3 linked regions of the Rattus norvegicus genome follow. The protein of the gene in region 1 binds, or shares a complex with, the protein of each later gene. Links are inferred from orthologs where the notes say so. Each region holds a gene or a part of one and is shown on either strand. Other genes may lie near its edges.

The links.
Region 2: Vdac1 (region 1) and Spg7 share a complex: the UniProt entries of both Homo sapiens proteins name them as parts of the mitochondrial permeability transition pore complex. The link is inferred for Rattus norvegicus from reciprocal best matches to the Homo sapiens genes VDAC1 and SPG7.
Region 3: Vdac1 (region 1) and Ppif share a complex: the UniProt entries of both Homo sapiens proteins name them as parts of the mitochondrial permeability transition pore complex. The link is inferred for Rattus norvegicus from reciprocal best matches to the Homo sapiens genes VDAC1 and PPIF.

Annotation. Positions count from the first base shown.
Region 1 is NC_086028.1:37,046,709-37,050,208, forward strand, and holds part of Vdac1 (voltage-dependent anion-selective channel protein 1), read left to right. Parts: intron 1-458; coding exon 459-611; intron 612-704; coding exon 705-757; intron 758-3,500. UniProt on the Homo sapiens protein: Non-selective voltage-gated ion channel that mediates the transport of anions and cations through the mitochondrion outer membrane and plasma membrane.
Region 2 is NC_086037.1:68,024,202-68,028,418, reverse strand, and holds the start of Spg7 (paraplegin), read right to left. Parts: upstream 2,801-4,217; 5' UTR 2,782-2,800; coding exon 2,599-2,781; intron 639-2,598; coding exon 536-638; intron 1-535. UniProt on the Homo sapiens protein: Catalytic component of the m-AAA protease, a protease that plays a key role in proteostasis of inner mitochondrial membrane proteins, and which is essential for axonal and neuron development.
Region 3 is NC_086034.1:1,262,532-1,266,800, reverse strand, and holds the start of Ppif (peptidyl-prolyl cis-trans isomerase F, mitochondrial precursor), read right to left. Parts: upstream 2,801-4,269; 5' UTR 2,772-2,800; coding exon 2,580-2,771; intron 1,473-2,579; coding exon 1,442-1,472; intron 964-1,441; coding exon 875-963; intron 1-874. UniProt on the Homo sapiens protein: PPIase that catalyzes the cis-trans isomerization of proline imidic peptide bonds in oligopeptides and may therefore assist protein folding. Involved in regulation of the mitochondrial permeability transition pore (mPTP).

The sequences.
Region 1 (3,500 bases):
AGTCAGTGCTTTTAACCACTGAGCCATCTCTCCAACCTCAGACGTTCCTGGCTGCCCTAGAACTCACTCTGTAGACTAGGAAGGGTGTAAACATGGAAGCTGGGTAGTTTCTTATCCAGACTTTAGGGCCCCAGGGGAGGAAGGAAGCTTCCAACAAAGAACTTTCCAGAAGGTTCCTTTGGGTAGCAGGCTCTCTCACACCTTTGTGTTTTTTTTTTTTTTTTTTTTTTTGGTTCTTTTTTTCGGAGCTGGGGACCGAACCCAGGGCCTTGCGCTTCCTAGGTAAGCGCTCTACCACTGAGCTAAATCCCCAGCCCCTGTATTTTCAGTTGTAATTGAACTGTATAGTTTTGCCTGGACGTATCGGGGACTCTCTGTTGCTTAGAGGCCTTGGCTAAGGGCAGATTGGACTGTAGGCCAAGATCTACTCTTTCTCTTTCCCTCTCTCTCCTTTTAAGGAATTTACTAGCTCAGGTTCTGCCAACACGGAGACCACCAAAGTGAACGGCAGTCTGGAAACCAAGTACAGATGGACCGAGTATGGGCTGACGTTTACTGAGAAGTGGAACACAGACAACACCCTGGGCACTGAGATCACCGTGGAAGACCAGGTAAGGGCTCCCTGCCTGCCCTCCTCTCGTTCCCATTGAAACATCCTGGGTCCTGCCTTGGGCTAACCTGTGCCACCTCTCTCTCATATGCAGCTTGCTCGTGGACTGAAGCTGACCTTTGATTCATCTTTCTCGCCTAACACTGGGTAAGGTTCTTACCCGAGAGGACGTTCTGGGATGTTATGGGCCCTGGAAGTCCATTGCAGCACAGGAGTTTGGTGTTTGGGCTGACGTCTTGTCAAAGTAGCCTCTTAGCTGGGAGGCTGGAGGCTGGAGGGTGGAGGGAATCGTGGGTTCAGGGCGAGCCAGGGCTACGTAGTGAGAGTCCACATCAAAACCAAACCGGGTAGCAACGACAATGAGGCAGCCTTGGTTCCAAGTGCTATCCGTTCTGGTCTGTGGTGGTGTTCTGTCCAGGAACACCATCTGTTAAGGGGCTGTGCTGTAGCAAGTATTCTCAGTTTAGGAAATGTATTCCTCCAGCAAATGGTTTTGTGTGTTCCTGTGCTCATTTGGAGACTGAGGGTGCCTGGACTGGGATGCTATTGCCCCAGGAACTTCCCTTTTACTTTTGACACAGAGTCTCCTGTAGCTCAGGCTTGCCTTGAACTCATTTTGTAGGCAAGGAGGATATTGAACTTGTGGCCCTCCTGCTTCTATCTCTCAAGCACTGGGGTCTTCTGCTCCCATACCCAGTTATGGGGTGCTGAGGATGGAAGCCAGGGCTTATGCAGGCCATTGGTGATGCACTCTACATCTGCACTGAGCTGTGTCTGCAGGGCTAAGGAGTGTCCTTGGTAGTGGAAGACTTAGCAGTGTTTGCTGCTAAGATCCCACAATACCGTTGTGTGCCTGGCTGCAGGCCACGGGCTTTCTGTCCCAGCTGTTCTGTTTCACACCAGGCTGCCAGTAAATAAAAGTGGCCAAGGCTGGGGTTGGGGATTTAGCTCAGTGGTAGAGCGCTTGCCTAGCAAGCGCAAGGCCCTGGGTTTGGTCCCCAGCTCTGAAAAAAAGAAAAAAGAAAAAAAGGAAAAAAAAAAGTGGCCAAGGCTGAAGGGCAGAGGTGGCATTTGGACTCAGGGGCTGACTGGTCACTGTTGTCAGCCTATTTTGTAGGTGTGGAGGGCTCTTCTCCCAGTTTTCTGAGACCCTGCGATCCTGGGAGCTTAACCACAAGGTGGCTCCTGGGGCTGCCAGGTCCTTTGGCCATAAACAGTGTAGGCTTGATTGACACATCAGAGGGCAAAGAGAACAAGCTGGTCTGCCTCCCCTTCTGAGTGCTCTACAGGGCTAGAAGGTTCTAGAATATTCTATACTCCTGAAATTTTTGCTCTTAGAATGGGGAGTCTCCTAAGTCATCAGGGGAAAGTTGTTTTGCCCACTGATGATTGAGTCCAGACTTTTACTAAATTTCAAGGCTTAAGTTTTTAGTTTGGCAGGTTTGTTTGTTTGTTTGTTTGAGGCAGGATTTCTCTGGGTAACAGCCCTGGCTGTCCTGGACTTGCTTTGTAGTCCAGGCTGGTCTCGAACTCAGAAATCTGCCTGGCACTGCCTCCATGGTGCTGGTATTAAAGGTGTGCACCACCATTCCCAACCTTTGGCAGGTTTTAGCTTGGCAGTACATGTATAAAGTACACCTCTACTGTCTTTTACGCCCATGGTTCAGCCGTGAGTTTTTATATTTTGTGATTCTGTGCTCTCTCTTCTCTCTTCTCTCTCTCCCTCTCTCCCTCCCTCCCTCCCTCCTTCCTTCCTTCCCTCCCTCCCTCCCTCCCTCCTTCCTTCCTTCCCTCCCTCCTTCCCTCCCTCCTTCCTTCCTTCCTTCCTTCCTTCCTTCCTTCCTTCCTTCCTTCCTTCCTTCCTTCCTTCCTTCCTTGATTGCCTGCCTATGCTTCTCCAGTGCTGGGATCAAAGGTGTGAGCGACCATTCGGGTACTTGGAACTGAACCTTGGTTCTCTGCAAGAGCAGCGGGTGCTCTCAACCGCTGAGTCATCTCTCCAGCCCCCTTTTCTTTTGAAATAGTTTTACAGTTTTTCTATAGAAAATTGTGATACAAGCAATACGCAGAGCTCCCTTCTATTTCTCCCCCGTCTGCATCTGATGTTGAAGTTTTATATCTGCCATCCCATTATAACACAGCACATAGTATATAATATGTAGCTGTTCACTACGTAATAGTATTTCAATCAAGCGCATATAGGACTCTGGCCCCTTAAGATTACTACGGAGCCGAAAAATTCCTGTTGTTCATTGCCGCCAAAGCACAGTGCATTTATCGAGTCTGTAATAATTGATACAAACGCCGCCCACTCTGTTATCTCCCTATAAAAGCCGAGCATGTGTAATTATGCTCATGTATTTGGGCCGAGTGTGTACCTGGCTTGGGTACTCACTCACCATGTTCTTCGTACCATTAGAGCGTGTTTCTTCTTCTAAAGTATTTACCGTGAGCCCGTGTGCTGTGTTCTGTTGCCTGCCTTGGACATCTGTCTTTTGGGTACACAAGGAGGTCGTGGTTGAGTGGTTAATCATGGCCATCTAGGTTTTTGTAAGTGCACCCTGTGATGTTTGCTTAATGGCCAAATGACCCAACGGTGCAGTTTTCAGGATGTGTCCCCGTCATACAGATCTGTGCCAACAAGTGAACGTTGGTGCCACACTATTAACTGATGCCTTGTTGATACCATCGTTCTGGCCCGGGACCCAGTTCTGGATCCTCCGTTGCATCAAGCGTTCAGGTCTCCTTTGTGGCCTCTCCCTGGGACACACTCTCCATCTTTCTCTGCCTCTCATGACCTGGACATTTTTGAGGAATTGGATTGGTCTGATGTTTCCTCCTGAGCACGTTCAGGTTATATTTTTGGCAGCTGAAGAAGCGGCACCTCGTT
Region 2 (4,217 bases), on another chromosome or scaffold:
CTGGAGAGAGTCAGAGGCTCGGGTGTTTTTTTGTTTTTTTTGTTTTTTCTTTTTTTGGAGCTCGGGACCGAACCCAGGGCCTTGCGCTTGCTAGGCAAGCGCTCTACCACTGCTCTTAGTGGCTGTTACTAGTCTTCCAGCCAGCGTCAAACTAGTGTCGTCGTTCTGCTAATGGTCACTGGTCACTTGTCACTTGCCAAGGAGCCGCCGCCACTCTTCGATTACAGGGCACACACTGACTGAGAGGGCGGATTCTGCTGCATACCTGGGTCGCACAGCACACCCTTCTGCTCCTAGACTTCTCTACTGAAATCACAACAAGCACTGTGATCTCGGTGGGGGGGGGGGGGGGCTTGGAGGCAGGGGGACAGCAGGGTTTCACTAGCTAGTTCTGGTCTGGCCTCCAACTGGCAGCCCCATTTTAGTGCTGGGATTACAGGCATGTAGGACCATGGTCCTCTTCCACTATGCTCTTAGAGGACTACAGTAAAATCTGTGTCCGTCAGTAATGGAACATGCAATGATACATACACACCTGAAAGCTGCCACAGTCTGATTGCACTTGGAACTATATGCCGTTTCAGTAACAATCCGCTAACACCTTCAAAGCTAGGGGTCAGTATTCGCAATAGCAAGCTCTGTAAAAAAAGAGAAAGACTGAGGTAATACTCAGACCACACACCACAACACAGATCTGGATCCAAGTCCTTGCCTAGTATGCAGAAAGCTACGGGTTTGATCCCCAGTACCCGCTTAAAGCTGGGTATAGTGGCACTTGCCTGTAATCCCAGCGCTTAGGAGGTGGATGCAGGAGCATCGAAAGTCCAAAGTCATCTTCAACTATACACATTAACTCCTGTTGAGTGTTACCTTTCCTTTTGTGTCTTTGTGAGATAGTCTAGCCTCAAACTCAGTGATCCTCCTGCATCATCCTCTCAAGTGCTGAGATTATAAACATATGCCACCAACAGACAGCTTGTTTCGTTTTTGGTTTTGTCATTTGTAACTGCGTCAAGTGGTTCAGGCTGGCCGGAATTTACTATGTTGCTGAGGATGGCTTTGAAATCCTGACCTTCCAAGTATTAGTATTATAGATGTGCTCCACAGTTGGATTAGCCTTTTATATTCTCCCCTACCCTCCAAACACACACACAAGACAGGGTCTTACTATGTAGCGTTGGCTAGCCTGGCATGGAACTTTATATGTAGATTAGGCTGGCCTTGAACTCACAGAGATGTACCTGCCTCTGCTCCCAGTGCTGGGATTAAAGACCTTCACAACCATGACCCATCAACCTTTAAATGTTAAGATCGACAATCCAATTTGACACTCTCTGCTTCATGGTACAGTTAAGGCTGAGAACTGGAACCCTGTTACCATCGGGAGGGCTATCTGTACCTTCTAGGGGCAACATTCCCACCAACATCAAATGGGGTCACACTGGTGCTGAGTACACTTCGAAGGCCACTCATATCTTCACTACGGTGGAGAAAGCCGGGGCCCACTTGACAGGTGGAGCCAAAAGGTCAACATCTCGGCCGCTCTACTGAAGCTGCCATGTTTGCGAACTACGAGAAGTACAACTCACTCATACGCATCAGCAATGCCTCCTGTTCCACCAGTTGCTTAGCCCTGACGCCCAGGCCATCTATGTCAACTTTCATGTCCTGAGGGGACTCATAACGCCAATCCATGCCATTACCACTACATGGCCTCTCAGGGTAACCTGCATGATGGCGACAGAGCTGCCGAGAGCATCATCTTTGCATCGACTGCCATTGCCAAGGCTGTGGGTGACATAACCCAGAGCTAAAGACCAGGGAAGCTCACCCAAAGTCTGCCCTACCACCTGGAGAAAGCTGCCAACCGTATGACATCAAGAAGGTCACGGTGAAGCGCTCCTAAAGGACATCCCGGGAGACCCAGTAGCCTGAGACTTTGCCCGTGACACCCACTCTTCCATCTTTAATGCTGCGGCTGTCATTCCACTCAACTACTATTCTGTCAGATTCGTGGACTGGTGCAGCGAATCGGACTACAGCAACAAGGTGGTGGGCCTCAGGGTCTACACTGCCTGCAGGGGCCGGCTATTCCGGCAAGAGCATGAGAGGAAGAGGGAGGCCCTCCACTGCTTGAGGAGTCAGGTGTCCCATGAACATATTATCTAGAATCTCCCCCTCCTTTCCATCCCAGACCTGCCTCCCAAGAAGGGGAGGGACCAAGAGAGCGCTACTGTTCCAACCAATCCCATCAGTGAAATTCACTATACTCAGCTAAAAAAACAAACAAACAAACAAACAAACAAAAAAACAAAAAAACAGATGAAGAAACAACAAAAGTCAGTAACTTTCAACCACAGACAGAAAAGGAAGAAAAAAACGTGAATAGGACTCAGTTCTAAACCAGGGGCTACGGTACAAGGCGTCTCTCTCACACACGCTAGGAATAGAAGGACCACCCGATGCAGACGCTGCCTCAGGTCCCGGGGAGCCCACATCAGCCCCCCTGCATCTCGCCGAAGAGGAAGGTGCAGGTGCACATCCGGTCCGCGCGGACCGGCCACACCCGTCGCCGCCGCCGGGCTCCGAGCGGGTTACCTGAGGCGTGTGGCCTCCAGCCGCAGCCAGGCCAATCGGAGTCCCACGGACTACGTACGGCCGCCTACCGCCGGCCCCGGAGAAGAGGCCGGGGCTCCTGCCTGAGAGCTGGGCCCACAGCCGCCAGGGCCCGGGCTCCGGGCTCTGGCGGAGCGCGCGAAGCAGCAGCAACGCGGCCGCCATGGTGCCGAGAGCGGCGCCTGCGCAGTGGGGCTCCGGCCGCCCTAACGGTCAGGTTTGGAGGGCGGTTGCCCTTTGCGCCTGCGCGGGGTTGAAGGTTGGGCGCTTCTTGCGACGCCTGCGCGGTGCGAACCTTCTGGTCTCGGTAAGGTTAGCGGCTAAACTCCGGTGTCAGCAGGGAGCGCAGCGCTAACGCTAGCAACCCCAGCCTGCGGGTTCCCGTGGAGACAGGCCACGGTTACCCGGTATTTGTCTCGCCTTTGTTTTATTTACATTTCAGGTTGCGGTTTCCAGTGCTTGGCAAGTGGATACGTGATCCGGTTTTCACATTGCCTCTTTCTCTGGGGTGCGATTGGTGGTTCCTGTTGACCACTTTCTGCCCTCCTTTATGTATTTATTTTCTTGTTGTTGTTTTTGTTGTTGTTTTTTCTAGACAGGGTTTCTCTGTGTGGTCCTGGCTGTCCTCTCTTTGTAGAGCAGACTGACTTTGAACTCGGAGACCCACCTACCTGTGCCTCCTAGTTTTTGGGTTTTTTTTTTTTTTCGGAGCTGGGGACCGAACCCAGGGCCTTGCGCTTCCTAGGCAAGCGCTCTACCACTGAGCTAAATCCCCAACCCCTTGTTTGTTTTTTAAATACAGTATCACTGTGCATGCAACAGAGTCTGGCTTCAAACGAGATTCTCAAGCTCCGCCTCCTGAGTACTGGCTTGACAAGCATGAACAGAACCAGTTTTTTCCTAACACCAGAGATCCTTAGGATGCTCCTGGCTGGCTACAGAATCGACTTAGAAGTCAATGGTGTGTGAGACCACAGAGCAGCAGCTGCATAGAGAGTAGGAAAACGGTGCTCTCAATCTTAGGAGGGAGGGGAGCTTTTAAAGTCCAGGGGCTGGAGAGAGAGCTGGCTCAGCTGTTAAGAGAACTGGATGCGGGGCTGGGGATTTAGCTCAGTGGTAGAGCGCTTACCTAGGAAGGCCCTGGGTTCGGTCCCCAGCTCCGAAAAAAAGAACCAAAAAAAAAAAAAAAAAAAAGGCATGTACCCACGGTACCCTGCAGAAGTAAAAGTTTAAATCATTTAATTTTATGTGTATGAGTGTTTTACCCGCATGTATGTAAGTGTACGTGTGCCTGCTTGGTGCCCTCAGAGGTCTGAACGTGACATTGTATCCCCTGAGACTGGAGTTATAGATGATCGTGGACCATAATGTGGGTGCTGGGAATCAGCCTGGCTCTTCCGCAAAAGCAACAAGTATCATAATAAAGCCATCTCTCCAGCTCCATAAACATTTTAATTAATTTACTGATTTTATATGTGTGGATGTTCGGCCTACATGGGAGCATGTGCCTGGTGCTTAAGGAGGCCAGAAGAGTGCATTGGATCCCGTGGGACTGTACTTACAGATGGTCGTGGGCTGCCATGTGGGTACTGGGAATTAAA
Region 3 (4,269 bases), on another chromosome or scaffold:
TTCTATCTATGCCCAGTTGTTGGCCATGGCCATACTGTGGTTTCTCTGAGACAGGACCCTTAAATGGGAAGAGTGAACCTTGTCCAGCTAAAGCATCCACTGATACCAATAAGGTGTCCCCAGTCACCTCGCCTGTGCCTCCAGAGGCCACCATGGCAAGCCATAAAGAGCTCTCCCAATTTGCAAGTCCCTTCCTGAATCCAGTTACTCTCAGTTCCCTACCTCACCCACCAACTCCAGGTGGAGCTGGGAGCCTCTGTAGCAGGAAGGTTATAGGGCTTGACTGGGTTTAGCCATAGCGACAGCCCTGCCTGCCGCCCTGCCTCTCCTTCACTTTGTCACACCCAATGGGTAACCAAGCATTACAGAGTGACAGTAGGCACAGTCCCAACCCACTGCTGCTTGGTTACAGTGGAGAGAAGAGCATAGGCAGAAAGGACTCCAGAGAGGCCATGACATCTATGCTTGCCTCCTGGTCTCCACACATCAGCCTCCGACCTTGAGTCTGCCCGTGAGGTTTTTGTTGTCAACACCTAGCCTGAAACCTGATGCAGCATGTTTGTAAAAAAACTGGAAGAAACTAAAGAATGTGTTCACTTAGCCAAGAAAAGGCCCTTCGCTGGCAAGGCCCCTCCAGGTTCTAGCATATGTAAGACAGACTTAGCCATCTTATCCCCACCCCCTCTTCTCCCAGGCCCAGTGCTCAAGGGCACAGGGAATACCAAGATTAGAGGCGGTCTAACTCTGATAGCCCTTCAAAGCCTCAGGGTCAACCCCCACCAGCAGCCCTCCACTGTGTCCCCTCCATGCCCCAGGGCCCAGCTTGCTTGTCAGTGATCCCGATCAGTCACAGCAGAGGCTGTGCTCCTGTTACCTGGCACATGAAGGCTGGGATGACCCTGTGGAAGGTGGAGCCTTTGTAGCCAAAGCCCTTCTCACCAGTGCACAGGGCTCTGAAGTTCTCTGAAGAGAGAGAGAGAGGAGGGGGGAGGAGGGAGGGAGACAGGCGGGTTAAGAGCAGGCCAGCCTTCCCTGCCAATCCCCCAGGTTCGGTGTGTGTGGAAAGACCCTGCCCCTCCTCTGGACTCAACTCCTGATCACATAATTTCCTGCCTTGAGCCAGTAGCAAGTGCTGTGGCTTGAATCCAAGCGCTAAGCTGTGCCAGTCAGGGTAACAGGGTGAGGAGCCCAAAGACTATACCCTGCCCTGTGCTGCCATGCAGAAATGGGGGGGAGCTTACATGGGGCTTCCCCTGGTTATGGGCTGTCTAGCTACTCTTGGTCTGGTTAGCAGAGCTGACAACGAGGTCCAGAGAAGGACAAAAGGCTGCCTTAGGGGTACCTATCAGCTATGCCTAAGTTGAGATACCCACACGTCACAGTCTGTTCTAATTCAACCCCGAAGCCTACCAGCCTTGGCTGGCTCACATCTGGGCCTTACCTGCTGTCTTTGGCACGACATCTGCCTTTAACTACAGGGAAGAAAAAGAACAGAAAAGGACGGTCAGTCGAGAAGCAGGTGCAGGGCAGAGCCCCCTCGAGGTTCACACCCAGAGGCCAGGGCATCAGGACCATTCCTCTCCATGCCCACTGACTCTCCTAGGAACAGCCAAGAAAGCTATCATCCCTGGCAGCTGCTTCCTGAACCCAACCAAGGCTTGCCTGAGACGGCCTCAGTTTCTTATCAGAAGAAACTACTGTCATCCTGGCCCACTTCCGGGACAGAATTGTCAACTGGAGGTCCTCAGCAGGAGTCCCTGGACCAAGAGTATCATCAGGACCAGCTGATGTTCCTCAGTGCAGGGGGAAACTGAGGTCCCCAGAAGGAAGGAGCAGACAGTTGAGGAATGACAGACAGGCCTCATCCAAGCCTGACTCTTGGCTTCTTTTAAGAATCCCTCTTCACCAAATGGGGTTGGGGAGATGCTCCTCATTCTCCAAAAGATGAAACTGAGGCATAATAATAAATATTGGCCACACACACCCCCTTCGCAAATCGGGCAGCCAACACTAACTGGTACCTTTGTTCAAGCCAAAAGGCTCCTAGAGCCTCCTCCTGATATTTTGACTGTTTCCTAATTTTCTCTTCAAGGGTCGAACAGGAGCCATTGTTGAACGTGGACCTCAAAGAGTGGAGAAGCTTGGGCTCCCAATTCAGAACCTTCTCATTCATTCCATGTGCCTCCTCTTAGGTAATCAGGCCTTGGGGGCGGATCCCGAGTGTGCTCAGGCCAACAAATGAGCACCAGGCAACACCTGGACCTCAGACACCCACCTGAGCTCTGGGTCCAACCTTGGACGCAGACGGTTCTAGGAAGCCCAACGTCAGTCCTGGCCGGTCAGTGGGCTGTCACTCAGTACGATCTGACCTTGACCTTTTCCTCCACACTAGCCCTCCCTCTCTCTTCCATATCACCCTCCCCCCCCCCCCCATCCTCCAGGGTTTTGAAATGCCCGGAAACGGACCAAGTTGATGCCGCTTCTTCTGAGAGAGGGAAACTGAGGCCCAAGGTCATCCGGTGTGCCAGGCACAGTACGGGGCCCGGGAAGTCCAGGTTTTCCCTACGGCCAAGTCTCACCTCCAGCACCACGCGGCCGAGCGGCTGTCCGTCGGCGCCCACGTCCAAGTACACGAGCGGGTTTTGGGAGGAAGAGTTCGCGCCTCGGGCTCCGCCGTCGCTGCAGGTACGGGTCGTGGAGAGGAGGAGCGGCGCGGAGCGCGGGCCGGAGAGCAGACCGAGCAGGCGGGGACCGCAGCGCAGAGCTAGCATCGCTGTCACGGGTCGGGCGAGGGCGCGCGGAAGAACTCAGAGCAGACACAACAGAGGTCGTACGACCCAGGAAGCGATACCTAGGCCGCGTGCCATCGCCTTTATTGGTCCTCTGGCTTCGAGACCACGCCCCTACACGCCTCCGTCACGCCCCCTCAGAACTGGTTCTCTAGTGTCCCCTGCTGGTTGCATCTGGCAGCGCAATCAGTTCGTGCTTTGTGCCCCATCCCGTAGCCCCACGCGCGGAACCGGAAGTCATTTGAAAGAGCCTCTAGACCAAGAGAGACACTGATCCTGAGAGTCAGAAAGACGTGGGAGGCTCTGAGGTGGATCAGAAAGGGAGAGATAACAGAAAGAACAGAGAAGTAAAAAAGATACGACACCCACAAGGTGACCGACCTCAGGCCTCCTGCTCCAGGGCTGAATGTCTCGTTTTGCCTCTAGAGATCAGTGCCTTGGCTAGAGGACTGAAAATACAGTTTGCCCAATCAATAGTGCATCTCCCAGGCCTCAGTCCCAGGGTGACCTCTCCTCTCCAGCCCACACTGACAACCCTTGTTTGTCCCTATCACTTCCAGCCAGGCCAGGAAGATACTGGGCTAGATTTACACCCACTAGAACTCACCTGGAATACACCTCCTTACTGACTGCATGCACCTGCAAATAACTTCTTAAGCAACCATTCTGAACGGATGCCGGGAAGTTGACAGTGTGTGATACAAAAGGAAAGGAGCCTGCAGCAGAGCCACAGCCAGGGATTTAAGCCCTTGTGTTCGGGGCACAGCAGCAGCCTGGGAAGCGAATGAATGCCAGCAAGTGGGGGCATGTGAGCCAAACCCGATACTCAGTTAGGAAACTGAGGCTCAGAAAGAGAAGAAAGCTCTGACCAGGGCTAGAAAACCCTGATTGGGCCAGTCCTTCTGCAACCAAGGAAGTTATGAGAAACTTATCTTGCTTTTAACTCATACCTATTCAGGGGATAAATAAACTTGAGAGAGAGAGAGAGAGAGAGAGAGAGAGAGAGAGAGAGAGAGAGAGAGAGAGAGAGAGATTTGTTAACTGTTAAACACTGCTCTGTGGACAACAGTGACGGGCATAGCCTAGACTGCATACTCAGGGTATGGATTCAGAGCATAGGGGGGACTCTCCACTGCAAGATCTCAAAGTCCTGAGAGACTGGAGAAGGGGAGGAGCTGAGAGACTGAGGAGCAGGGGAGCCACAGATGGTACAGTGTTCCCTCCTCTACCTGACTTCCTTCATGTTCTATCTTCCAGCTCGTTAGCGAACACATTTCACTCCCCTTTGTGTGAACCAAAGACAAATTCTGTCTTTACCACAGGCTGGATTCTGGTGTCTGTCTGTCCTTCCTGTCCTGCCCTCAGTGGTCTCTGTATGCAGCTAAGCATATGCCCAGCCCTGAAGACACTGGGCCCCGCTGAGATACATACTCTGCTAGCTCCCCAGCAGCTGATAGACTGGGTCATCTTCAGGGGTTTC